7 linked regions of the Nothobranchius furzeri genome follow. The protein of the gene in region 1 purifies or fractionates together with the protein of each later gene. This does not show direct contact. Links are inferred from orthologs where the notes say so. Each region holds a gene or a part of one and is shown on either strand. Other genes may lie near its edges.

Region 1 (4,056 bases):
GGGTGATGCCTCTGTTGGTTGCCATGATGAGAACAGGAGAAAGGTCACTCTCCAAGGCCCGGTTCAGGAAGGAAAAGCACTCCATGTCCAGCATATGGACCTCATCGATAAACAACACCTGGAAAAAACAACAAACAAAATGATTTGTTATGTAGTTTAAGCAGGTAGAAACCCCAAACTTCAAAAATCTGCACACACTAAAACTTACTCCGGGAATAATCTCTGCCTTGCCTTCTTCCCTCCACTCGCACACTTTGGCATTTATCTGCTCCCGGACCTCGGACTTGATCTCTCCGGTGTCTCCGGAGAAGAGAGCCAGGAAGCCCTGGGTGCGGCTGTTGATGACATCGATCTCATGGAGGGACACCGTATGTACCACCTCCTTTCTCTTCTGCAGCTCTCCCTCCGGACATTGGACAAACTGGGTCTACAAAAGACAAAACAAAGAAAATAATCCAGCAATCAGTCAACCTGCATCCTCAATCTGAATACAGTGGCATCACACCTGAGCGCCCATGGCGTCGTAGTCTCGGGCTCTGGTGAAGGAGCGACCCAACTTGCTGATTTTCCCAGTGGCTTTATCAATTGTAATAACATCTCTGTAAAAACAGAGTAAATAGATTTGTTCTAACGTCGCTCCAGCAGAGAAAAACGAGACTAGAGAGTCTTGTTGTGCGAACAGAACCTACCCAGCTTGAACCTTCTCCTTACTGAGACTGTCAATCATCTTGTTGCCCAGGTCATAGATAGTCTCCATCTCTGTCGTCTTTAGAGTCAGCTTGCCTACTTTTGCACCCTGACGGAAAGAAAATATAATTTTTATTAAACAGGACTCTTCAAAGAGAATAACATCAATGTATTTAAGCTAACAGAAAGTGGGAGACAATAAATTCTGAGACTACTAGCTAACATTAGAGAAAGTATCCCACCGTTCCGGTGGCCGGTCTATCAATCTGGATTTCCACAACCTCTCCTTCAATAATCTCCGTCTCCTCTCTGTAAATACGGAAAAAACAGTCAAAGGCAAATCATTTCATACAAAAATAATTAAATAATGCTGTATCTGTGACCGCTGTCTCACTTGATCCTCACTCCAATGGCTTTTCTAAAAGCTTGGCTCAGTGCCTCGGTCTTGCTCATTTCCAGGGAGAAGATCTCGCTACCAGCCAGAGCTGTGAAGGGCGTGTCTGAGCCGAGAGACTGTGCGATGCCTATAAGACAAGCTCATCAGGAACAGGATGCAGGAACTCTTGATTCAAAACAAAATGCAACTTGAAACATTTACATCCATGGACAGCTTCCAACTCGGCTCTCACCCATTGCAATGGCAGTCTTTCCCGTGCCAGGTTGGCCAGCGATCAGGACCGCCCTGCCAGCAATGTGGCCGTCTTTGATCATCTCCAAGATGACCCCTGCTGCCCGACGGGAAGCCAGCTGTCCAACCATCCCCTGAGAAACCTGCAGGTGAAGAGGATCAAGTCTCCTTCAGACAAAACCTCACACACATTAATGCTGGAAAATTAACTAAACCTAAAAGAACAACACTGCTCAATATTCTAAAGTGTTGGTAGATAATATAAGAGAAAATGTCTGAAGTGATGTGATGTTGAGGTTACACAGGCTATCTACTGTATTTTCAGTTTAACCAGTTCTAGCAAAGTATATGCATTAGTAGTAACCAAACAACACATTTTACAAACAGCTTTTTTCTTTTAAAAGACTTAACAGAGTTTCTTTAGAGAGCATGAACAGGAAGTCCACAGCAAATGAATCAGAGACAAGAGTACCTGTCTTGGCTCCAAAGCATCATCCAGGCCAAGGCCCCGAATGTGAGAATGGGCCCCTGAACGCAAAAAGGTGGATTTGAAGGAAAAATAAAGAGCACACACAACTAGCAGCATCATACACCCTTATGATAAATTAGCTTTTTGATTAGTTAACGGTTCAAGACGTCCACACCTACCAATTCTTTCAATCCGTGTGATATCACGAACCTCTGGAACCTTTGTAGCCGCCATCTGCATCAGGTGAAACACAACAAGAAAAACTTGTAATATTAAGTAGATTGTTTTACGTTTCTGAATAATTAAGCAATGCAACTTCTACTGACCAGTTATTTGTCTGTATCTCACATTATGACTCAAAATAAGTCAAATTATTAAAAACAATAGTTAATGTGTAAACCTGATCATACTAAAACGGTAAAGATCAGATCCAAAACTTGATTTGGCAATGAGACACACCTTTTAGTAAATAATGTACCACAATAAAACGATATTTATGTTGTTTGCTAGATCAGAAAACGTCTGAGAGGTCTGTTCTGTCCAGCTGGTTGTCATAGTGACAGTTATAACCCATGCGCTACAATACATTAGCTAGCGTAATACAAAGTTTCGATCACTTTCCAAATATTAATGTCATACGTGAAAGCAAGAAAACTTTTAACTGCCACCACATTAGTTATGTAACATACCGAAACATGTGCGGCTACATTGCCAGCGTTAAAACAGGAATAGAATAGCATTCCGTGGCTAATGTTGTGTTAGCAAACAGCTAGCTTCATTCATCGCTTTATTTAAAGCTAACATTCAAAACAAGCAGAATGGGGACGTCAAACACTCCAACATCATAAGACTTTCTTCAAATTACACAGACAACAGCAATCGGGCAGCATAAACTGTAATATGTTTGAATTTTATATTATTTTATAATAAGCGTGTTCACTCACCTGCACCACTACACTCACCGAAACGTGAGAACGAGGCGCTCCTTTCTGAAAGTGCACCGAGCAAATGCGTCCGACTAGAAACAAGTAGTTTTTTTTTCACAGGGGCACATGGGGGAGCGTTGTTACCATCGGTTGTTACTGAATTGTTTTTGACCAAGAAGACAAAACTAACGAGGTAAATACGTTTCATTACACGATTCTTATAAAGGTACATAAAATGCTAATTCAAAATTTTATAAATGTTAACTCGTTCAATGAATGTTTGTAGAACTGGGTCCGTGCATTTCGTGTTTTCGTCATTTAAATGTTCTCATTGGAAACCAGTAGAAACAAAAGAATCGCTTTTTTCTTAAATTTCAAATACAAAATAATAAGCCATTGCTAAAAAAGGATGAGCACAACTATTAAAACATATTCTATTCACATTTGAAATAGCAAAAATATTTTTAGTTACAAATTTCCAAGTTGCTTTGAGTAAAAAGTCTTCTTACCAGTGAGGGGTCCTTTAAAATCTAAAACACTATAAAAAATTATAAAGAGGTAATCCAGGTAGAAGACATTTGTGTGCTGGTGCATTTAACAAGAATGAAAGCAAAAAATAAAAATAAAGGGACATTTTCTTGTGACTTTCTTTTTTATATACTTTCAAATGGAATTGTCCTGTTGTGAATTGATGACATGACAACAATTGCAATCTACTGAGCTTTCTCTTAAAATAATCTAAACAAATAAGCAATGAGAATAAGAATGCATCAAGCACAAAACACATTAAAATACTATAATTTTGAAAATAAGTCATTTTAAACCAAGGCATTTGGAACAAATACGTGAGGGACGTTATTTCTCAAATACACACGTACCATTCAAATTATCTTGTGACTATTATGTAAGTTTAAATGTAATAAGTTTTTTATTTCAAGTTTTGAAGGGTTAATCAGATATATTTTTGTTCTATATTAAAAAGAAACACATCCACATGGCATAGGAAGGCCAACATTGTCTGATGGAAAACGCCATAATAAAGCTCTAAAAGCTTTTCTCCACCAGAGGTAGCAAAGCTCATAATTTAAAGCTGTGGAATTTTTGTTCATGTGAACTTGCAGTGATCAATGCAAAGGAATATCAATCAAAATATCTGATAAGATAAGTTGGCTGGCACTCCATCCTTAAGTTTTCTTCTGACAAGTTAGATTTCGTGTTTTTATACCTTTAGAAATGCAAAAAAAAAGGGTGTAAAGCAAAGTGTGCTCAAATCTTTCTGGAGCAGGTTTTCATCTCCTTCCTGTCATTAGAATTCCCCCCTAAAAGTGCAGCTTTCGGGATTCCAC
Region 2 (4,185 bases), on another chromosome or scaffold:
AACACGCAGCTAAAATGATGAAACTCCATTGTTCCCTTTGTGCTCTGATACATGCGTGACACTGTAAATGATATGGACCCATCTGTGATGTGTCGTGCACCCTAGGGAACATTAGTGCAACCCGTTGTGATATTGCCATACAACTTTGTTTTTGGTTCATGCTAGCTGACACAATCAACAAGAACACACAGCAGGATAGTTGTGCCTGACCTCTGACAGTCCAGGCAGAGCGTCGTCATGCAGGCGGGACAGTTGAGAACAGCATCACTGTTGGGTAAACACCGAGGTTGGCCGGATTTGGACCGGGAGGCTGCATTTGGTTGTTTTCTGCTGTTATACCTGAACAGGAACAGAAATGGGTAAACGGCCTACAAGAAGACAAAAAAAGTACTAGTGGCAGTGTTTTACAGAACTACCGTCTGGCGTCTACCCAAGCCTGGTCCCTGTCATCCTCGTCTGGGTCATACAACAGCTCATCATTGGTAGGAACTACACGCTGTCTCCGCTTCCAGCTGGTAGAGCTGCCTGTAACAAACAGGTGAAATTAACCAAAATCAAAGTGAAGATGAAGTCGTGTAAAGTGACGTCGTACTTGGTGTGTCCTCGTCCTCTGAGTCAGAATCAAAGTAAACTTCGTCATACATCGGTGGATTGGGAACACTGGAACCTCCTACGCCACCGGCACCTGCTCCTTCACCACCGCTGTCTGAACAAAGAGAAACTTCATCACCACCACTTAAACTCTCAGGAATGATTTCATAGCAGTCGCGGAGGGCCACAATGATTATTTAATCACACACAATCATTAGTTGCCACGTCCAAAACAGGACACAATTTCCTTGGTCCAACTAAACTAGTTATAATAACATTTGTTGGTGTCCTACTAGCTGCTGGTGCCCAGGTTCCCTCCATGTTCCTGATGGTGGAGCTGAGCTCCGTCTCCATTTCCTTTTCAAAGTCATCCTCACTGGACGACTCGCTCTCCCCCGTCAGATACTCTCTGATCAGCTTCTTCTTCTGCTCTGCTGTCCCGTTCAGAAGCACATCCAGCTCATCCTCTGAACTGAAACACAACCACAAGAAGAAAATAAAAAACCTCAAATGTTTGGTCTGAGATGACCAGGGATGTGTACTTTTGAAATTCTGGCGATACGATACATATCACGATACAGGGGAGACGATACGATATATCAAGATATATTGCGATACATTCAGTCAGACGTTACAAGCAATTTTTTTTACTGAATTTATTGTAAGAATGTTTAACAGTCCAAACTGATACGTAACATGTTTAACATGAGGTATCTGAACCATGATGGAGGGATTTACATTTCAATGGTGGAAACAAAACCTGTTGCACACTGCTGCAAACTAGCGGGCGGCGATTAAATTGCACAAAACGAAAAGAAAATACACAAATGTTTGCATGTAAATTCTTTCAAGAATTAGATACACGGCTTTTGAATATCGATGTAATATTGCTGGAAAAAATATCACAATATATTGCCATATCGATATTGTCTTACATCCCTAGAGATGACTGAAAATCTACCCGACAAAACAAATGAGCAGCACTGGTGCTGCATCCCTTATTTTAACTATTACTACACAAGTGATTGACAGCTGCTGTCCGTCTCCATCTTCCGTTCCCATCAAAGTTATTTAAAATAAAAACAAGTTGAGTTTATAAGCTCGTCTGTTAGTAGCGATAACCACCTTACAGCAATACCAACAAACTAAGCACAATATAAGGCTACAAACTAGCTTCTTTTGGACAAACTGTTCCCTTCACTTCCACCACGAAGAAAGAGGTGTTCCAGTGAGTAGTATGACATCACATGCAACGGGAAAATATTTCAGCCAAGTAACTCTATGAGTCCAGGTCACATAAAACAGAAACACCAGAGCAGAACAACCAGATAATGCTCGGGGCATTGTGGCCTTGGGGTCTTGGATTCAGTGGGATAAGGTCTTGAGTTCTTCTGAGAGAGTGAATCTGTTAGCGGACTGAGTATGTACTAGCATCTCTTCTCGTCGACAGTGTTTTAATAATACTGTATAAAAGTTGTGTTGAGTTTCATCTGGACCACAGTGTACAAGTCTGCTCTATTATTTTTTTAACAAGATGTACAAAACTCTCGTTCTAGTTTTGTCGTAAATTAACCCAAGAAAACGAGTTTCTAAAAGCCCGTGTGGGTTCAAACCAAGCAGCTTAAATCCATGTTCATTTCCATGGATCATAATAAACAGGCTGTTTGAACCAGTAAAGGGACGAATCACCAGTTAATTTAAAACACCAACCTCACCTTAACGCGCCTCAACGCTGTTTCAGTTGTGATCATTTTGACCCTCTTTTTTATTTTAGAACGATTGCTCACAAACAGATGTCACATAAGATAGAAGGCAACATGCTTTACTCGCGTTTATACCAACATCAATTACGTTTATGAACAGTTTGTTTACATTCGCATAGTTTTGATCAGGCTTTGATGAGCCACCTATGTCCGATGCATCCACCACACACCATTTGAGCTGATGTCTAGTTCATGTAGAACACCGGAGATGCTAGCCACGATGCTAATGTTAGAAACCGTAGTTTATTTGATCCCTACCTGCTCGCTGCCCGCTCCTCGTCACTTGGCTCTTCGACTTCATATGAGTCAAAGTCCTGTGATTTATTCAGCATGTTCATTCTGACGGCTGAAAGTTTAACTATGGGAACATAATTACTTCTACGTAGTGACAGAAAACGACTAGTTCTATGTCACCTTTCCACTTGGTGGAAAACCAACTCCAAACTACCCTAGCGCCCTCTAGTGGACTGGAGGGTTGAGGCAGTTTTTTTTTAAACTGTTTTGTCCGGGAGTCGAACTGCGTGGGTTCGATTCCTGCTCAGTGCGAATACAAAAATAGAAATGTATGCGAAATCTGCATAATAACACTAATTATTACGTAAATAATTTTTCACAATTACCACTTTAAATTTAATTATAATTGTGATGAAGAACCACTAAGCTGTGAAATATATTTGTGATAATACACATGTAAAATTATAGAATATTTATGAAAAATTACATCTGTGTTGAAATATATTTGTGATGTTATCAATGGTAAATGGCCTGTATTTGATATAGCGCCTTCTAGAGTCATGGAACCCCTCAAGGCGCTTTACAACACAATCAGTCATTCACACACACATTCACACACTGGTGGGGAAGAGCTACGATGTAGCCACAGCTGCCCTGAGGCGCACTGACAGAGGCGAGGCTGCCGAGCACTGGCGCCACCAGTCCCTCCCACCACCACCAGCAGGCAACGTGGGTTAAGTGTCTTGCCCAAGAACACAATGACAGCGACAGACTGAGCGGGACTCGAACCTGCAACCTTCCGAAAACATATGTAATAAATGTATCTGTGTCCAAGATCATAAAAACATTAAAAGATTTAAAGTGTTTTTCGTTTATATATATATATATATATACATATATAAATACATATATACATACATATATATGTATATATGTGTGTATGTACATATTTATACATATACATATATATATATATAAATATATAAATGTATGTATATATATATATATATACATATATATATATTTATATATATATATATATAAATATATAAATGTACATACATACATACATACATACATACATATATATACATATATATATATATATATATATATATATATATATATATGTATATATATATATATATATATATTTATATATATTTATATATATATACATATATATATATATATATATATATATATATATATATATATATATATACATATATATATATATATATATATATATATATATACATATATATATACATATATATATATATATATATATATATATATATATATATATGTATGTATGTATGTATGTATGTATATATGAAACAAAAGAAGAAGTCTCAAAAGTCTTTAAAAAGAAAAATCCAAAAGTAGAGAGTGCATGTATATATTAGTTAACAACAGCCTAATGCAGCAGCACACCAGCAAAAACAATGTTAACATTTCACGGCATTACGGTAAAAACTAAATCCTGTACCAACTTAATCCCCCTAAACAAGCTGTAATGTTTTAATTGTTAAAAAAGTTTTAGGTTACAAATAAAAAGTATAAAAGATAGTTACTTCTCACATCTCAGATT
Region 3 (4,248 bases), on another chromosome or scaffold:
GTCGATGTCCTGTTCGGATACTTCTGTTCCCATGGAGATCTCAGCAGCTAGCTTCACCTCAGCCTCGATCTCCTCAGGGAGGATTTCTGACAGATCGGTGCTGGACACGTTTGTACGATCACCTGGGGCGGACAAGACGACCGTCCAATCAGTAAGACACTTCATAGTAAAAAGGTAAATAATTGCCCTTCCTTTATGGGTTTTGATAATTAAAACAAAAGCTGTCGTCTCTTTTTCACATCAGCCCAGGTGTTACTTAAACAACGAACCTTACCGACTTTGAGGACGGTTTTGCAGTAAGCTAGGTTGTCCGTGACGACCTTCCCCAGCTCGGGGAAGTGCCAGCCGTACCACTCTCTGCAGCGCATGATGTAGTTATTAAGCTCCTTGTCCAGGTCGTCCAGGAGGGCTGAGGACAAAAACACCCAAGCTCCGGTTATTGTGGACAAAGACAGCCAGGATCACAGAAAAGGACACCAGGGACACAAACTGGGCTTTCCTCAATTTTTCAAGATGTCTGAACCCACACGGCCCGGCGATGCTGCTACTAGCTTCTTCTGTGGGGTCACTGGAGGTGAGGTTCAGCCTAACCAAGTATCCAGGAACTTCTGATTTAAGCTTTTATCACGTCAGTTTAGTTTCCTCTTATAATATTTATAAGATCAATAACCATTATTATCAAGGGTGCTCTGACATTATGTTAAATCCTGACAAAAGACTAAATTTCTTCATAAATATTTATATATTAATCATCTGACTAACTTAAATCTTTCTATTTAAAATAAATGAACATTCGGCTGAACTGACAGTTTGATATTTCTTAAATTCAGATTTTTTATAGAATGGCTGAAATATTACTAATCCACCTCACAGGGGAGAACATTCAATCAAATCCTAAAAAAAAGAAATTTCTGAAATAAAATAGTTACTTTCTACAGGTTTCTGTAGATTTAGCCCGCTAATGTCTAACCCTAACCAGCTAATGCTGCATTCAGGGGTCATTATCACTAATATTGTATGAAAACAACACGATGCTTCATCAGCGAAACACTCACAAATGGCCTGAACGATCATCGTGTCCACTTTGTCCGGGCTGAACTTCAGCTTGTAGCGGGACAAACTGCAACAGGAGAGGGTGTTAGCTGATAAACAACAGACCAGGCGATAAACAGGAGCACAGGGGCAGCCTCAGTGGTAGTGACGAATGCTGATGGGAACATCTACATGAGGATCTCAGACAGCAATGTGTAATCACAGGCAGCAGCAGCAGCTGTAGTATAACCCCGGGGTGACCCTGACCTGTGAGCCAAGCCCAGAGACATGGCGCTCATCTCTCTGGGAGGAAGTCCAGAGATCAGACTCTCCATCTGGCTCCTGATGCATCTCATCAGCTCGGCTACTGCGGGGCTGTAGACGCAGTTCAGGTCCAGCTTGTCCTAAGAACACAAACTTGATCAGAAAATCTTTAACAGACAGATCTTCTGACGTCTGCAGAAGGATGAAACTCACTTTAATAACTCCACCCAGTTTAGCATCGCTGATGGCTAGCTCCTCATGAGCCTCCTTGGCCACGACTTTCTTCAGGATCTTCTTCAAACTTTTGCTGATTTTTCCCTCAACCAGAGCGGTGGCAGCTTCACAGCAGAGGTCAGAAACAACTGATTAAACCTAGATAAGCACACTTTAATAATCCCTGCTCCTATCCTGGACATCTTCTCTTATCTACTGGCTGAAGGGACAGGGTGGTCTCAGTGGTAGTGACGATTGCTGTGGATAACCTCATGCTTTTATCAGACACTGAAATCCATCACAGACCACCAACATAGACACAACAGAGTGTTTTTACCTGCCAGTGCCTCCGTCGTGTCCTGAAACTTCTCAAAGTGTTTCAGTTTCACACTGATGGAGGAAAAACAGATGTAAGCCCCCAGAGTGAGGTGTTGAGCTGAGGGTACTGAGACGTGTTCATACTCACATTTTGTTGGCTTTTTCAGGAGTCTCAAACTCCTTGTACAGGCTGTCCACCTGCTGCAGCTTTGATTCATTTAGGACCTAAAAACAAATAAACTTGAGCAACCAGACAATAAAAGCGTCTGTATGCTGGAAGCTAGGGAACTTGTGCATGGCAAGTGTTGCACCGAGCCAAACTGTCTTTTATAGACTTGAACGAAAAAAACAGCCACATGGGCAACATTGCTCTTGATACTTTGCTAGCACAAACACACAAACACACTTTAAGTGCATTTAGAAGGAACGACTCTACAATAACCTGACCGGATTAATTATCCTTTTATTGAGCGAGTGTACTACATTCTCTGTTGTGTTTGAGATCAAACTCAGCCAGCTTCCAGGAGCGCACGTGGTCACAGGCCCCTAACAGCATGCTAACTCATGTTAGCATTTGAGTTTAGAAACGAAGACGTGCACGTGAGATAGGAAAGCACACGGTGCCATATTCAAGCCCACACAGACACGTTTAGAGCTCGGTTGTTTTATTTCCCCTAATAACACCAACTTGTTACTTAAGGGCAAATTTATGTGTGACATTAGGATGCTAATCGAGGCTAACTACAGACATACGAGCGAAATATCGTACTTCAATCGGTAAACTGACAGAATGAAACACTCACTTTGAATATCGCATATCCAGCGGCGGTTTCAAATAGAACGAGCATGTTTGAAACTGCTCTGTTTTATTAAAGTGCTCTCTTTTCAGAGAGCTGACAGTTTTCGTCTCGGTCAGTCACCGCGATGGTGAGGCTCGGAAACCGCACGCGGTGCAGAGGAGCTGCTGCAGGGGGAAACTTCCGGGTTGCCAGATCCGTTAATTTGAACCAAAATCACCCAAACGTCAGTATTTCCTTTGTGTTTTAGCTAACTCTAAAAACAATAAATGTATTTTAAAACGCCATACACAGTAACTATAATAAATTTATGCAACTGTGTTGTTTTGTGTGTTCTTGAAAGCTTTTAACAAAGTAAATGTAATTCAATTCCATCTTTTTATTCCACCACCTTTATTTTATGATCGCATAGCAAAATAGTAAAACCACGTATTGTATTTTTTACTTATTATTTTTAAATTATCGTTATGTTCATTTTGTTAAAAAGTAAAAAGTTTATACATTTTAATTAAATGTCACAAACTGGATTTGATTTGGCAACGCCAGAGATGCGCGCAAACAAATCTCGCGAGAGGTTATGAGCACGGTATGTTGCTTTCACAGTAAAACTTAACGCCAAACTAACTGTTTACGCACTTTTAAACGATATTATTATTAATGATTCCATCATTAAAGTGACTGATCAATAAAACAGATAATATAATTAAACAATACGTGATGTTACTTAAAGAACAAAATGTAATAAAAGGAGAATTACAAACAAGTAGAGAATAAAAGAGAACAAACTCCCGTAATATAAGAATGACATTTTATGTAGCTAATTTTAAAGCACATAGGCGACTCCAGATGTGTGAAGATTTGTTTTAAAATATTTTTGTAGGAAATCTAATTTTCAGTTGTAATCCGGATAACTTGTAAATCCCAGTTCTGAGAAATTGAAAAGGAAATTCCGATCATCCAAAACGCAACACACTTTTTTCACGGAAGTGACGAACGCGTGAACTCTGGCAAAACACGAGCGCGTGGACTAATACCTTGAGCTAACTTTTACCGTTTTCTGGCTGGTAACGTTGAGTAAGGCACCGGAGCTGGAGCTATGAACGAACCAGAACGCTACCCTCCACCAGACTTCAGCTGTCCCCCTCCAAGCTCGTTCCACACGCCCCAGGAGCAGCAGCAACCTCGGGCCAGCAGCTTCCACCCCAGCATGTGGAGCTGGGGAGAGACGCCGTCCGAGCCCAGCTGGAGCTACTGGGTCAGTCCGAACTGGAGTCACGGACAGGCGGGAGGGTACCACGGTCAGACCCATCCACACTGTGAGACCTTTGGTGATTATGTTTCTAAAAGAGGACACCTCTCTCAATGTTTGTGTTTGGAATGCTTGATTATGGAAATCAATCAAAACCACAATTATTGTATAGTGAACTCCAGATGATCTAACATGATTGTGTGTTGGGAAATACTAGAGATCACATCTAAAAGAGACTGCAGACGGATTTGAGTTTATGATGACTAATTATGAGACCAGAATTACCCACAGTAGACTCTACATTGCAGTGGCCTGTTAGGCTCAATGAAATACAAAACCTACAACATGGGTATTATCAAAACGGAATAAATAAAT
Region 4 (2,582 bases), on another chromosome or scaffold:
CAGAATAACATTAAGCTCCTTTTTTAATTTTCCCTGGCACGAACAAATTTTACTCATTTTGTATTTTTTTTTAAATTAACTATGAAGCATAACTACAAAATTCGACATTTTGGGAGTAAAATCAGATCATTAATATAATTAATATAATAAATATGAGAATATCTCAAATTTCTGAGTATGGAAAAAATTATATTTAAGTGCCCTCTTATCAGCAGATTCAAACATAAATTATTTCAATTTATGGGACCACAAAAGTAAACGGAGTACTGACTCTCCTAACAAAGATCAAAAATGTTCATCTCAAACCCGTAACATGCCAAATATTTCAGTTCTTGGAACCGATTCTGAATCTTTGTGAATCGATTCTGAATCTTTATAAATACGAATCCCGATTCAGACTTGAATCAATTTTTTTCAGCACCTCTTTTATACGTTATGAAGCTGCCAAAATATTTCAGCAACTGGGCATCATTTAATTCATTTTCAACAACATTTCGTTGGATATTTTCAGAGATTAACGATAAAAACTACACATTGTCTCTTTAAGTTCAAAGCAAAAAAAAAAAAAAAAAAAAAGCAGCAACTCTCTTTAGGACCCTTCAGAAAAGTGCACCAGGAGTCACTATGAGGCCTCGGTGGGTGCTGTTGGACTTTGGCAGGGAGCGGGACTGGATGGGCAAGAATCGTCTGGACTTCCAGGAGTCCGAAGAGTAGTTTTCCTCTTCCCGTTCCGAACGGTCAGTTCCCCTTTGGGCTTGAATGTCAGAGGCACAAATCCATCTGCATCTGCCACAAGTACAATCCACAACGGTCCTGGAAAAAATACACAAAACTGTTGTTTATTCTTTGTTGATTTGACCCAAAACGTAAGACTGTGACAGCAACAACGAGGGTGTGTATTAGCTCAGGAATGGCTCGTCTCTAACAAAACCTCTGCTTAGGAATGGTAAGCTGCTTTTGTTTTAAACCTTGTAAACAGACCTAGGCTCCTAATCGCTTCTAATTATAGCATCGATACAATCACAGTGTTGGGCAAGTTACAAAGTAATTCATTACATTACAATATTACTGATTTCAAAATGTAAGGCATTACACTACTTTTGCATTACTTTAAGTTACTTTCACCAAAACAACTTCAATATGAATCTGGTAATCTGACGCTCAGTGAGCTCATGACATATATGTGGAAGGTGATGTGGTGTGTGAGCTAGGGCTGCTGTTAAAAACAGTCAGATATAATAACGGTGTTTTAAAATGGTTGTTTATTAAATAAAAGCAACAACAATCTGTACTCTCAGCACGCTGCCATCTTATATTAACTGAGCAGGGAGTGAGGGGGGTGGGGGGGGTGGCTCGGCTCCAAGCCTATATTTACCTTGGTCCCCAAATGCCTTGATACGGCCCTGGATGTGGGACTGACTTCTGGGGTGATCTGATTCTATCACATGTATAAATGTTAAATGCTTATATATTATTGCTTTTCACTGGTAAAAATGTGTATTGGGGATAAATCTACCTACTTTTTTTCTTTTCAAGCACTTTGTTTTGTTTTCTTGATTTTATTTGAATACTTTCCGGCCCTTTCTCTCTCTGACCTTCCTGCATGTTTTGTCCGTCTTCCAGAAAAACAATTTCCTAGATTTTCTACTTTCTAACTAATCAGCCAAAGGGATCTACCAAACCAGCAGCAATGAGTTGAAATCACCGGCGCACAGATTATGAACTCAGCTGAAAAGTACATGAAGTACCAGAGAATATGGGCTGATTTAAACGGTCGCAAACAAATGACTTTGTTTTGGTGGAGCGATTTTGTGAATATAACAGTGGCCGCGTGCAGGACACGGCTGGAGTATTTGAGTTATTACCGCTGCTATTATCCTCTCTGCTCATAGAATGCCCGCAAACCTGAGTCCATAAATGACGTCATATATGTGGATACTGGATCTTTTGTCAGGCTTCCCGCAATTTGAATTTTTAGGAAACCCACATCTTTATTCTGGGTTTAAAAATGCGTCGTAATTACCGCGTTACTGACAACTGTACCGAGTAAATATTACCATTTTCTTTCCCCGTAATGCCTTAAATTACCACATTACAGCAAAAAGCAATGCATTACAGTAATTAATTACTTTTGTACCGCGTTACTCCCAACACTGTACATTAATGGAAGAACAATGGCAGAGCAAGTTGTTTAGTTACAAAGTTAAAAAGATGTTCATGATATATTTCTTAAAGCAACAAAAATACATTTGGAGAACAACGGAACATTTAACACTGACCCAAGCAAGGTAAGCCCATCTTGGAAGTGTTCTAAAAATTAAGGCAGGAGGAAGACCTGCTTAAAGGGACCGGAGGGAGTTTCCTCAGAGGTTTCCATTAATTAACCCTGTACCCTCTGGAACGCCGATAACCTGGCAGTGAAGTGATGCACGTACCATACATCATCTCCACGATGGGGAGGTTGAAGAGGTCCTGGAGGACCCGTAGACAGAGCCTCCCCTCACACAGCAGCACTGGCCTCCTCTCATCAATGAACACGTTCTCTGATAGCTGCTTCTTCATGTCAAAGATGAAAAGAGTCA
Region 5 (3,500 bases), on another chromosome or scaffold:
TCTGTAGTTCATCACCTGGTCCTTCTGTAGTTCATCACCTGGTCCTTCTGTAGTTCATCACCAGGTCCAGGTCCTTCTGTAGTTCATCACCTGGTCCTTCTGTAGTTCATCACCTGGTCCTTCTGTAGTTCATCACCAGGTCCTTCTGTAGTTCATCACCTGGTCCTTCTGTAGTTCATCACCAGGTCCAGGTCCTTCTGTAGTTCATCACCAGGTCCTTCTGTAGTTCATCACCTGGTCCTTCTGTAGTTCATCACCAGGTCCAGGTCCTTCTGTAGTTCATCACCTGGTCCTTCTGTAGTTCATCACCTGGTCCTTCTGTAGTTCATCACCAGGTCCTTCTGTAGTTCATCACCTGGTCCTTCTGTAGTTCATCACCAGGTCCTTCTGTAGTTCATCACCAGGTCCAGGTCCTTCTGTAGTTCATCACCAGGTCCTTCTGTAGTTCATCACCAGGTCCTTCTGTAGTTCATCACCAGGTCCTTCTGTAGTTCATCACCAGGTCCTTCTGTAGTTCATCACCTGGTCCTTCTGTAGTTCATCACCTGGTCTTTCTGTAGTTCATCACCAGGTCCTTCTGTAGTTCATCACCTGGTCCTTCTGTAGTTCATCACCTGGTCTTTCTGTAGTTCATCACCTGGTCCTTCTGTAGTTCATCACCAGGTCCTTCTGTAGTTCATCACCAGGTCCTTCTGTAGTTCATCACCAGGTCCTTCTGTAGTTCATCACCAGGTCCTTCTGTAGTTCATCACCCGGTCCTTCTGTAGTTCATCACCTGGTCCTTCTGTAGTTCATCACCAGGTCCTTCTGTAGTTCATCACCAGCTCGCAGCAGAAGTGTCAGAGCAAAGCTTGGGAAGCCGCTCACTTCTCCAGGTTTCAGCACCTTAGAGGACCTCTCAGGAAACGGCTTGGTCCAGTTTGTGAAATAAATGATTAAAACGTTCATTCTGTGTTCACTGCTGTGGTCTCAGCCACCTCTCCTGATGAGGTTGTATCAATTAACCGGTTTCCTTTAATCCAAACCAAGATGTCTTTGCTTCCACAAAGACTTTATCTTCTGTCTGACCTCACGAGAACAAGAGCAGCACGCCTGTAGATCTGCCCTCGTTCATCGTGTAGATGATCGGTAATCATTCGTTCTACTGGCGACAACATTTTTGTGTTTGTTTTACTACTCCTGACCGTGTGTGTGTGTGTGTGTGTGTGTGTGTGTGTGTGTGACAGGTGGGAAACCCCATCCAGCTCTGACGGCTGAAGAAGAGGCTCGAAGGTCTAGAACGTGTTCTTCTTGGTGGACGTGTGCACGAAGCCTTCTGGTGTCTAACATGAGTCTGTGTCTCGGTCAGGAGGGAGGTGGTGCGGGAGAGGCTGGAGCTGGAGAGAAGAGCCGTGAAGGTGGTGGAGCGCCTCCTTGAGAGCAACGTGTCAGAGGACGTCCTGGTTGACTGTGTACATGTTTTTGTTGTTTATGCACATAAACAATGATGTTTTCCATCTTCCCCTCTCGCTGCCCCTCACCCGGGACTGGGGCCTGTAACTGGGCTCCCAGACGGGTCAGTTCCCGGTCCAGACTTGAGCCCATCCTGGGTTCTCCATCCGACAGGACATGTCTGATTGGCTGTGAAAGCAGATGATTTCTGCTGCTTGTATTCGGTCTTGGCTCTCCTCACAACATCACTGACCCCTGAAAGTAAAACGACGCCACTGAGGCTAAGATGACGTTACGGAAACGGTTTGTTGTGTTTTTACAGGCCAGGCTCATCACCGCAGCTAACTACAGAGATGCTGTGGAGGAGAGGTTCCTGGCTAAGCTGTGTGGTTATCCTCTTTGTTCAACAAAACTGGGCAAGGTCACTGAAGCATAAAAACTCCTAAGTCTCCATGTTTGCTTCCTTAAACTGTCTCACACACACACACACACACCTTGTTTTTCAGATCCCCACACAGCGGTACAAAATATCCACTCAGACAAACCGAGTTTATGACATCACAGAACGGAAGGTGGGTGCTTTCACGTGCAGCTCTAATGTTCCGTCTGCATGTTGACGTATTTTTGTATTTGTAGTGTTTTTGTAGCAACTTCTGCTACAAGGCGTCTAAAGAGTTTGAGCTTCAGATATCGACGACTCCTCTTTGGCTCCGGCATCATGAGAGGTGTGCTGCTGGTCTTCCTGTACAGCTTCAGTACACACCAGCAGATACTAACCGTGTGTCTTCTGTTCCTGACAGTCCTCCAGAAGTCACGCTGCTAAAGCCAGGAGACCGGTATGTCCTTTGGTTTTCTTTGTTACTCTGAACAAAAGCAAACGACGACACTTTTATGTTTGTCTCTTCAGAATCTTTAAAGGGACTTTACGGAGTTTTGAATTTTTATGCTCGCGATCGCCCCCTCAGGCCAAAAGCGTAACAGCAGCTTCAATAGTAGAGGCGTGCATGCTGTACGTGCACACTCCTTAACGAAAATAACAGCTGAGACAGTCCTGTGTGTGTGTGTGTGTGTGTGTGTGTGTGTGTGTGTGTGTGTGTGTGTGTGTGTGTGTGTGTGTGTGTGTGTGTGTGTGTGTGTGTGTGTGTGTGTGTGGCCCAGAGGACAGGAGAACGTGCAGCTAATTAATTAAATAATGTGGTTTTGTAGCTTTCTCTTCAGCACAGCCGACAAAGGTTTATGATGGGTCAGTCCTCCTGCATGCTCAGATCATTCCCTTCCCTTGCTTGAAAAATTGTTCCCAAATGAAAGTTGAACCCACATCTTTTTTATCTGTGAATTCAATGCCGTTCGGCGAGTCTCAAATAAAAATTTGGGCATCTTACTGTAAAAAAAATATACCATTAATGTAGTAAAAAATAATCTATGTTCACATCCGGAATCAAACCCGGGTCTTCTGCACGAGAGTTCAACATCTCACTAGGTGAGCTAGAGCACCAGTGACGTCCCTTGTATCTGTAACATTTATGTCCTTGATGACAGCTGAAACAACGTCAAACCAAAGAACGGTTCGGAGTGAAAATGGCTGTTTTGTTGCTAATTAGCAGGAAATATCTAGAAGAAAGTTCTACAGAAAGTAGCTAAGGGTCCTCAGAAATGTAGCTAGCTTTGTCACTAGGCGTTAGGAACAGCGACAAAGTGGCACTGCCTCTCTCTCTGCTGCTAAAGCTACGGATAGCAAATGCTACGGGCGATGCCTGAGCGTGAACGCGCATGAAGCAGCCTGCTCGACCCGAGCATCTCTCTTTTTCTGTGATTTTACAGAAAAACAGGCAATCACAGTAAAAATGCCAGGGCTCATTCTACAGGACCAGGGCATTGCAGGAGAACGTATGAAGAAGACATTTATTATTTCTATACATGTTTTGGCTGTCACACTTCCATAATGCACCTTTAACTAACATCTATTGGTGAGCGTCCTATTCACCACACTTTACTGGTCAGACCAACCCACGAGGAATCTGGTGTTCTGGCTGTGTCCTGCAGACTCCTCCTGAAGTGCTCCAGCATGT
Region 6 (3,999 bases), on another chromosome or scaffold:
AGCTGAGAGCTGTTGGTGTCCTGTGGGACATTGTTTCTGGACCACCCTTTAACACCAGGAACCAGAAAATAAACATAATTCTGACATGCCCTAGACAGTCCCAGTTCAACTTTTTAGGATGATCTGCGATGCACATGATGGCACACGCATCACCGAAGCTTCTGACACTTTCCATAGTTCTAATTCTATATGTATTAGCTCATCGCACACTAAATAACCACCATGAAATGGAAAATCTGCTGTTGGATGGTAGGAACGATTATTATTGCTGGTAAATTGATGTTTAAACTCAGAAGTCTCCAACAGAAACCTGACTTATGCATCGTAGATTCAGCCAACGATAGCAAAGGGAAGAAAGCTTAAATCCACTGAAGAACAGGGCACTATCACCCAGAATGTCCGAAGCTGGTTACGAGACAAGTTCAGACAGAAGTAACGGGCTTGCTGAAGCTGTGTACAACCAGCTTTATCTTCCCAGCCATTGTTTAAAAAAAGATTCTGCTTTTGTGCAAAATGTATTCTTCTGTTGGAGGCTAGAAAGGTCACACTTTAAATGAGTGGCAAAATGGTACTCACCATCTCTATGACCTTCTCTGCCTTGTCCACATTCTCAATATCAAAGTGACCCGGAGGAGCCTTTTCCATCTGTTGTGTCAACTTCATGTTGGCTTCAGCCATCTGAGGCAGGAAGTTCTGTAGCCGCTCCAACACTGACGCACAAACAAAACCAGACAGACATGTCATGGTTCCTATCAAACTGTTGACCTTGCTTGGTGTTCCTACAAACAAATGTTGGGATTGTATAAAAGGACTCACTGCTACTTCTTGGGACTCGCTCTGTCTTCAGGGACTTGCCAGCCTTTCGTTTGAGCAGCAGTTTCTCACTGAGAGCTAGTTGCAGATAAACAAATCATCTTCAGTTAAGAAAATTAAGACAAGACCGGTCTTAGGCCTAGTCCACACATAGCCGGGTTTTTTTTTTAAACGAATATCCGCCCCTCCAAAAACTTGCATCCACACCACCTCGTTTTAAAAAAAAAACTGTCCACACGTACCCGGATAAATACGTTGTTAAGGATATGCCAGACCTGTAGGCGGCATTACTTCCCCGTTCTTAACCTCGTCCTTCGTCTGTGGTCTTCCGCAAGGAGCAGTAATTCCGCTTGCAAAAACAAACAAGCTAAAAGCGCTTGGACAATTGATAAAGCGAGCGCAGCTCTGAGGGCATCCATGCTGTCGGCTAGTGTAAACACAGGTCGCACACGTGATGTCAGCATTTTTCTGTCGCGGAAAGTGACGTTGCGGACCATAAAACTCCGGTTTTGTCTGTCCACACGCAGACACCCAAAACGGAGAAAACGCATATCTTCACTTTGGCCGGAGTTTTTTAAAAGATCCGTTTTCGTGTGAAAAAACTCCGTTTTCGTGTGGATGACAGGCCAAAACGTAGAAAAATATCTACGTTTTGGCAGATCCCCGGCTAGACAGGGCCTTAGACCCACAAAACTGAAATTGTCAAGTCATGTGGCCCCAGTTTTCTGTAATTTGACAATAAACTACTACAAATGAGAAAAGAATAGATACAAGAATTCAGGGCATAAAAAAAACACTTCAGCTAATACTTATAAATTCATGACAATTTTGTTGTTAGAACTATAGCTTTGATAGTTGTTTTTCTACTTTATTTCACTTTTTAAAAGTCATTACAAGTCCCCCTCAACCGCTCTAGAGTCACCATCAGGCATGTTTTAGTTGTTTACCTGTTCAAAAACACTTGATAAAATGGTTTAATCACCTGCTCAGAGGATAATTAAACTCTGCAGGAGTCTGTTGATCACTCACTTATTAAAACCAGGTGTGCTGAATCAAATACACATCTAGAATTGACTTCAAAGTGCTTTTACTAGTCTATAAATCTCTCAATGGTATAGGACCAAAGTACATGTCGGATCTCCTTCCAGTATATACGCCCAGCAAGGCTCTCAGAAGCTTGGGAAACATTCAGCTGGTAGTACCTCGGGTCAAAACCAAACAGGGCTAAGCTGCTTTTGGTCATTTTAGCTGCACACAGATTGAATCAACTTCCTCATAACTTCAAATGTGCCCCAACTCTAGTAACTTTTAATTAAAAATTAAAAACATTCATGTAGTCATCAGCCTTTGGATAAATGTTTCTTATGCTGCACTTTCTGCACTGTAACTGCTACCCTTTTGACCATGCCTTTTATCTGTTTGTTTAATCTGAAATTACTTACTACATTTCTTTGTTTGATTTACTGTGTTTGCTGTTCTTGCTTTTGTAAAGCACTTTGAATTGCATGCGTTTGAAATGTGCTATATAAATAAAGCTGCCTTGCCTAAATCATGCAGGATGGTGGCCCTTGGGAACCAGGACTGGACACCATTGTGAGAAGATAACTTCGGTGTCCAAAGAAAAACTCTAAATCCTTAAAAACACTGGCTAGTAAAATAGCGTGACAAGATGTCATTGTTTTACTTAACAGAGTTGAAGCTAAAACATTTCCTCAAAGGCAATAGTGTATAAAACCAGGGTTGGTGAACACACACCACCGTTTGTCAATTATACAGCACATATTTAATAAACAACTCTCCACACTTTCAGACAAGAAAAAACATTCAAACCTCCTTCGTTGCCACATGATAGCAGCGACCGTGAGGTCGTTTTCTTCGCGTTTTGGTCCATTTTAGGTAAGCCGCGCATTTATTTTGCTGTACATGTGTTAGAAAGACGAGACCAACATCCGGGTCACAGTTCAAGACAGCTACACGTGTGTGTGATCATTTCCACAGCGCCACCTAGTGTTGGAGAAACTTCTCACCACTTCAACTAGCTCCATCTGGCTGCAAGCGACCCAAAACACTTACTAATTCACAGTTGTTTAAAATATCAGTTTATCTTTCTGCCAGGTTTAAAACATTCACATCTGTGTCAATAAGCGTTTGTTTTTACTTTAGACCTCATTTGCGCCTGCGCACGCCCATCAAAATATCTGTGTTGGCAGTGCACGCTAGAAGTGCAGATGATAGTAAGAGGTCTCACTCTTACATTATTTGGTCTGCATGAAGTAAAAGGCGCTTGTCTCCTTATATATATATATATATATATATATATATATATATATATATATATATATATATATATATATATATATATATATATATATATATATATTTGAAGGTATTTTATTGACTTCATCAAAAATATATATGTATACTTTATACATAATATAAATTGGTTAATTAAAAATAGTAAAAGGTAAAAGTTCTAAATAATCAGATACTTTGATTTAGGATTATATTTGATGATTTTAATGAAGAAAAACTAACGAACGTGTTGTTTTTAGTGCACGTGACAAAGTGTGTATTTTGTTCCATAAATATAAATTTCAAATCTTCACACAGTGGCAGAGAACATTTAAACGCAACAATTATGGGCACAATATTTATGTAAAGCGAAGCTGCTCATCTCTTCTTTTTCTACCCATCTTTGGTGGCACTATTTGCTCTGACGCCGCTCTCGCTGCCTGTCTGTCAGAGGTTACTCGTATCTCTTCTTGTTGAAAATTCTCCTCCGCTATTAGGTAAGTCGTTATTGAGACAAAAGAAAATAAATTGACTCCTGGAATAAGCATTTAAAAAGTATTTACATTTAAAGTGCGGACGGTCGGTGTTTCTTCTGGCTCACGCGCAAACGCATCGCGAGGAAGCCTACCTGCTTCTGTTTTGATTCCTGTACAGCTAGCTAGCAGCACCACCGAGTTAGAAAGCTACCATTATACACATCTATATAACATTTTGGTGTGGTTATTGATCAGTAAGAGCTTACTTGTGTTTTTAGAAGACCTTAAGCGGAATAATCACCATAAACTGGAGCTAAAATGTGATGTACAGGCCTGGGTGGTGGAGGAAAATCCTTAAAAGTTCTCAAAACATACCTTTATCTGTCACAGCGGCCACTTTCTTTTCCTGTCTAGTTGC
Region 7 (4,042 bases), on another chromosome or scaffold:
TGACAGAAAAACCCAAAAGAACAGACTAGAGATCACCAAAAACCACACTGACGAGCTTCAGGGAGAGCATCATTTTGATTGATGAGATGGAAATCGGCTCTAGAAACACTGTAGAAGATGGAGGAAGATCAGTTCTGTTCTGGACTCACTGCACCTGGACCAAGGATTCCTGAAAAGGTTCAGGGTCCAATCCCAGGACCACCAAGACCCTCTGGAGCCAAATCTACTGTCCAGAGTCTATCATCAGAAAACACAGCTAGGAACACCGAGAATGGATCAGAACCAAGCACTGGACTGTTCTGAACTGATCTAGATGCTGTTGAACATCTGTGATAAGAGCAGAAACATCTGGAGAAAGAACACCTGGAGCAGTGTGGCCACGAGTAATGGGACAGAATACCTGCGGACAGGAACGATCTAAATAAGTTGTCCTAGTGAATGTTGATGAGGCAGCTGGGTTCTGCAGGGTTTCATTTACAACCCTGCAGTAAAACATCCACACGTCATCAGAATGTTTTAACCCGGAAGCTGCAGGTTATTCAGACCTGAACAAAAACTACTTCACTAATCAAGAAGATCCTCACCTTCCATCTGATCCTGAAGTTCTCGCATAAAATCCAGCTGAATTATGCTGAGTCTTCTTCTTCTTCGACGTTTGTGGGTGGTAGCAGTGCAGCATTACTGCCCCCACCTGGCCTGGAGTGGACACACGTTTATCAAACAATAAAAAAGGAAGTATTTTTATTGGATCTGCAGCTGTGGACACTCAAATTCCACTACGCGGAGATAGTGGGATTTTGGGGTTAACTGTAAACACTGATCCGTCCCGTCTGCCGTCCGGGTGGACACTGAGGTATTTATGTTCCTCCGCCACCTCCACCTTCTCTCCCAGGATGGAACAAGCATTTAGCATGTTCCCGTTTCTTCTAAAATCCGCAGTCATCTCATGTTTTTTCCGTTTTTTAACACACTATTGCACTAGAGGCCCACCAGTGATCTGTGTCTCACTACTTAATGACAGACTTATCTGACTCCAAATATCACTGGCCTTTTTTAGTGTTTATTTCCCCCCAGGATGCTAGTTAATTAAAGAAGAGCATTAGAACCACCGAAAGAAAAGTCAGAATTATTTTTCACATTTATTTTTTTCCATTTTATATTTAATTATGTAAAAATTGTATTTAAATAGCAAATTCATTTATTTATTTACCTCATTTGGTTTCATTTCTGCTCTGTGACCAGTTGGTGGCGGTAGTGCACCAAGTACTTTCGTGCCAGCCGCCATAAAACATCAAGCAGAAGAAGAATCTTTCATTAGAAGATGGCGGACGAAGCTGGTGAGTGTCGAGCACGTTTTGTAAGCGACAGTCTGTGTTTAATTTATTGCTAAGTTTGAACATAATTCTGCTGAGTCAGGGATTTTATTAACAACACGTCCACGTGCACGTACAAGCGTGTTTTACGCAGAAGGAATCGCAGTAAAAAAAATTCCTAAGTTGGTCTATGAGGAGGTTTGGCAGCGTCTGAGCCAGTTAAAACAAACAAATCCCTCCACGTGTCCAACATGCTTTAGTAGTTGGGTTTAATTCAATAACAGAACTAAGGGTTTGCTCTGTGGACTCGTGTTTTCTTCATAAGCTCCAGCAGCGTTTAGTGTAGTTAACTTTGAGAGAGCGGGTTCTCGGTCAGTGGCCTGTTAGCTCCGCTAGCAGCCACGTGCGCTCCACCACGTGCTGCAGCTGCAGGCCACGTGGGCTCTATATCATTCATTTACAGTTTTCCAAATTTACCAAACTGCAACAGGGATTTAAATTTCTGTTCCTTCAGATAAAATACTTTCTTTCGGTCGTACTTTTTCCACTGAAAGGCCCTTTTGGGCTCAGAGTTGCACTGGAGCAGGGCCCATCTCCAGGGCCACCATGCTGCACGTGCTGCAGGTTTGCTGCTCCTGCACACATGAAGGTAATCGCCTGGATAAACCTGTTGAACACTCTTTTAAAAAGCAGGTGTAGTATGGTCCCTGGAGTTAGTGACCTTTAACCTGAGGTTACCTGGGACCAGTAACCTGTTATAATGCAATGTTCAGTTCCCGGTGGGCATGAAGACTCGTCTAGAATATTGGTGAACACTTGAGCAGTCTGGCTAGTGACAAAACACCACTTAGGGCCCGGTAGATTGTTGTTCTCTGAGAAAATCCTGGAATTCTGATTTTAGGAAGGATTTATGCTACTTTAGTTTGGTTTTTATTTTGCAGCATCCACAAAGAAGAAGAAGAAGTCGAAGAGAGTGGCTGAAGATGTTGGGGTTGGTGTGAATTTATTCAACTTAAGATCTATTTGGAGATTCTCTTCCTGTTGAACAAACTGATGTTTTTATTCAACAGGAGATCCAAGAGAGTCAAGAGTTTTTAATCCAGCCAGACACCAAAGTCCCCACTTTGGACTCCTCCCAGTGGCCCTTGTTATTAAAGGTCAGGAACCCCTCCTCCTGTTTGTGCCTGCTGACATGTTTGACCCTGGTCATGTGATATGATGAACTGGTTTATCCATTCTCTGAGTGCTGTGGGCCTGTTGTGGTCTTTGCTTCTGCTCCGTTCTGGATCAGAGCTTCTCCTGCGGCTGCTAGAGGGGTCTCGGCGTTCTGCCTGACCACGACCAGTAGCCGTCTGGGGAATGACCCCACTTGACCACAGCCAAGACGACCTCCTATTCTGATCACATTGACTCTGTGCTATAAAGCATTTGTTATCTGCTCTGTTTAGTGACATGTTTGTGGTTTCATCTGGTGTAATGAGTTGACTCGACTAGAACCCTGTTGGAATCGGCTCTAGCTGTCAGACAAGCGTTTCCCCTGGGAATTTTTCCGGTGGTGGTGCTGGGGGGAGAATGATTGACAAGTCTCACCTTTATGTTAATATTAAAAACCCTTCTACACCCCTGCTTAGTAGACTTAATGAAGTATTTTTAAGCCAGTATAAAAATGACTGAAACAAAAATTTACATATTTGGCATTATTGACCCATATCTTTGATTTAATTTGTGTTAAGAACATCAAGATGCATTACAGTGAACATTATAATAAAGTAAATTTTTCTAGTGCAGAGAGGAGACAACCCATAGAAGCACTGATTTGATCTCATTTCAGAGAAAAATAGAACAGGTTAGATGCACCTAATAAATAAAATTACTAACAAACTCAGGAATCTGTTTCTTTGCTTCATTGTTCTGGTGCTGAAAATATCACTAATGCGGATCAAAGGAGATACACAGATGAATGCACCTCTTATTTATTATTTGTAAATTAGTGGGTGTGGTTTACATCAATGCATTATTTTAAATCTGAAATTGGATTGATCAGAAGTTGATATGTGTATTGTTTATCTGAAAACTATTTACAGAGCAGCCTCAGAACTGAGATTAAATATTTTTGATCACAATAGTAAAGAAACCATTACAGAACAAGTTTTTCAGTAAAATCAGAACATTAATGTTTAAGTGCATGAATAAATGCATCTGAACTCATGCAGTAGGAACTAGGAAATATGAAATACTAGAATTTATTTTAATTTGATTAAACTGATTTTTTCCTCACATTGTTGGCATTTTTCCCACACACGGTTAAACAAAACTATGTTGACTGAGGTGTGTGTGTGTGAGTGAGAGAGTTAAAATAAATACATTAAAAAAAAAACCTGAGCGGAGGCAGTGACCGACGCATGCACAAGCCGTTTTCAGCTCTGTCTTGTCTAGAGCTGAAACAACTAATCGATTATAATCGATTATTAAAATAGTTAACAACCTTTTTAGTCATCGATTAGTTGTTTAATAATCATATTTTACCGCATAAAGTCTATTTTTTACCACAATCTGACATCGGTTACAAGCTGTTAAATTTGCCGCCAGTGTGTGGCAGTAATGAGCCACTGATCTACCAGTGGAGCCGTAGAAGAAGAAATGAGCCAATGAGTGCCCTCGGTTTTCATGACGTATCACGTTACTGACGCTCATCTTGCTGTGAGAGATGGCGGAACAAGAGGAAATAC

Evidence for each region.
Region 2: the proteins of ruvbl2 (region 1) and eapp purify together in Homo sapiens (affinity purification with mass spectrometry; 3 studies listed by BioGRID and IntAct, with this or other methods). This does not show direct contact. The link is inferred for Nothobranchius furzeri from reciprocal best matches to the Homo sapiens genes RUVBL2 and EAPP.
Region 3: the proteins of ruvbl2 (region 1) and nop58 purify together in Homo sapiens (affinity purification with mass spectrometry; 5 studies listed by BioGRID and IntAct, with this or other methods). This does not show direct contact. The link is inferred for Nothobranchius furzeri from reciprocal best matches to the Homo sapiens genes RUVBL2 and NOP58.
Region 4: the proteins of ruvbl2 (region 1) and wdcp purify together in Homo sapiens (affinity purification with mass spectrometry; 6 studies listed by BioGRID and IntAct, counting the BioPlex papers as one, with this or other methods). This does not show direct contact. The link is inferred for Nothobranchius furzeri from reciprocal best matches to the Homo sapiens genes RUVBL2 and WDCP.
Region 5: the proteins of ruvbl2 (region 1) and rpap2 purify together in Homo sapiens (affinity purification with mass spectrometry; 3 studies listed by BioGRID and IntAct, with this or other methods). This does not show direct contact. The link is inferred for Nothobranchius furzeri from reciprocal best matches to the Homo sapiens genes RUVBL2 and RPAP2.
Region 6: the proteins of ruvbl2 (region 1) and nopchap1 purify together in Homo sapiens (affinity purification with mass spectrometry; 4 studies listed by BioGRID and IntAct, with this or other methods). This does not show direct contact. The link is inferred for Nothobranchius furzeri from reciprocal best matches to the Homo sapiens genes RUVBL2 and NOPCHAP1.
Region 7: the proteins of ruvbl2 (region 1) and dkc1 purify together in Homo sapiens (affinity purification with mass spectrometry; 5 studies listed by BioGRID and IntAct, counting the BioPlex papers as one, with this or other methods). This does not show direct contact. The link is inferred for Nothobranchius furzeri from reciprocal best matches to the Homo sapiens genes RUVBL2 and DKC1.

Annotation. Positions count from the first base shown.
Region 1 is NC_091750.1:65,678,013-65,682,068, reverse strand, and holds the start of ruvbl2 (ruvB-like 2), read right to left. Parts: upstream 2,801-4,056; 5' UTR 2,729-2,800; intron 2,019-2,728; coding exon 1,964-2,018; intron 1,844-1,963; coding exon 1,788-1,843; intron 1,459-1,787; coding exon 1,317-1,458; intron 1,212-1,316; coding exon 1,082-1,211; intron 997-1,081; coding exon 930-996; intron 797-929; coding exon 690-796; intron 600-689; coding exon 506-599; intron 428-505; coding exon 209-427; intron 119-208; coding exon 1-118. UniProt on the Homo sapiens protein: Possesses single-stranded DNA-stimulated ATPase and ATP-dependent DNA helicase (5' to 3') activity; hexamerization is thought to be critical for ATP hydrolysis and adjacent subunits in the ring-like structure contribute to the ATPase activity.
Region 2 is NC_091758.1:7,754,136-7,758,320, forward strand, and holds the start of eapp (E2F-associated phosphoprotein), read right to left. Parts: upstream 2,801-4,185; 5' UTR 2,693-2,800; coding exon 2,613-2,692; intron 1,064-2,612; coding exon 885-1,063; intron 707-884; coding exon 593-706; intron 526-592; coding exon 417-525; intron 340-416; coding exon 211-339; intron 1-210. UniProt on the Homo sapiens protein: May play an important role in the fine-tuning of both major E2F1 activities, the regulation of the cell-cycle and the induction of apoptosis. Promotes S-phase entry, and inhibits p14(ARP) expression.
Region 3 is NC_091742.1:74,286,167-74,290,414, forward strand, and holds the start of nop58 (nucleolar protein 58), read right to left. Parts: upstream 2,801-4,248; 5' UTR 2,676-2,800; coding exon 2,631-2,675; intron 2,053-2,630; coding exon 1,976-2,052; intron 1,900-1,975; coding exon 1,847-1,899; intron 1,635-1,846; coding exon 1,510-1,634; intron 1,437-1,509; coding exon 1,300-1,436; intron 1,121-1,299; coding exon 1,056-1,120; intron 410-1,055; coding exon 275-409; intron 123-274; coding exon 1-122. Other genes in the region: FMR1-interacting protein NUFIP1, read left to right, coding at 3,721-3,952. UniProt on the Homo sapiens protein: Required for the biogenesis of box C/D snoRNAs such as U3, U8 and U14 snoRNAs. Part of the small subunit (SSU) processome, first precursor of the small eukaryotic ribosomal subunit.
Region 4 is NC_091742.1:21,824,876-21,827,457, reverse strand, and holds the end of wdcp (WD repeat and coiled-coil-containing protein), read right to left. Parts: intron 2,557-2,582; coding exon 2,436-2,556; intron 814-2,435; coding exon 623-813; 3' UTR 501-622; downstream 1-500.
Region 5 is NC_091751.1:71,625,301-71,628,800, forward strand, and holds part of rpap2 (putative RNA polymerase II subunit B1 CTD phosphatase rpap2), read left to right. Parts: intron 1-1,049; exon of another isoform or gene 1,050-1,121; coding exon of another isoform or gene 1,122-1,128; intron 1,129-1,226; coding exon 1,227-1,272; intron 1,273-1,348; coding exon 1,349-1,451; intron 1,452-1,753; coding exon 1,754-1,852; intron 1,853-1,937; coding exon 1,938-2,003; intron 2,004-2,067; coding exon 2,068-2,156; intron 2,157-2,231; coding exon 2,232-2,267; intron 2,268-3,500.
Region 6 is NC_091741.1:62,948,264-62,952,262, forward strand, and holds the start of nopchap1 (NOP protein chaperone 1), read right to left. Parts: upstream 2,801-3,999; 5' UTR 2,723-2,800; coding exon 2,644-2,722; intron 892-2,643; coding exon 817-891; intron 711-816; coding exon 577-710; intron 1-576. UniProt on the Homo sapiens protein: Client-loading PAQosome/R2TP complex cofactor that selects NOP58 to promote box C/D small nucleolar ribonucleoprotein (snoRNP) assembly. Acts as a bridge between NOP58 and the R2TP complex via RUVBL1:RUVBL2.
Region 7 is NC_091758.1:16,263,635-16,267,676, reverse strand, and holds the start of dkc1 (H/ACA ribonucleoprotein complex subunit DKC1), read left to right. Parts: upstream 1-1,242; 5' UTR 1,243-1,321; coding exon 1,322-1,337; intron 1,338-2,254; coding exon 2,255-2,304; intron 2,305-2,383; coding exon 2,384-2,470; intron 2,471-4,031; exon of another isoform or gene 4,032-4,042. Other genes in the region: cinp (cyclin-dependent kinase 2-interacting protein), read right to left, coding at 585-612.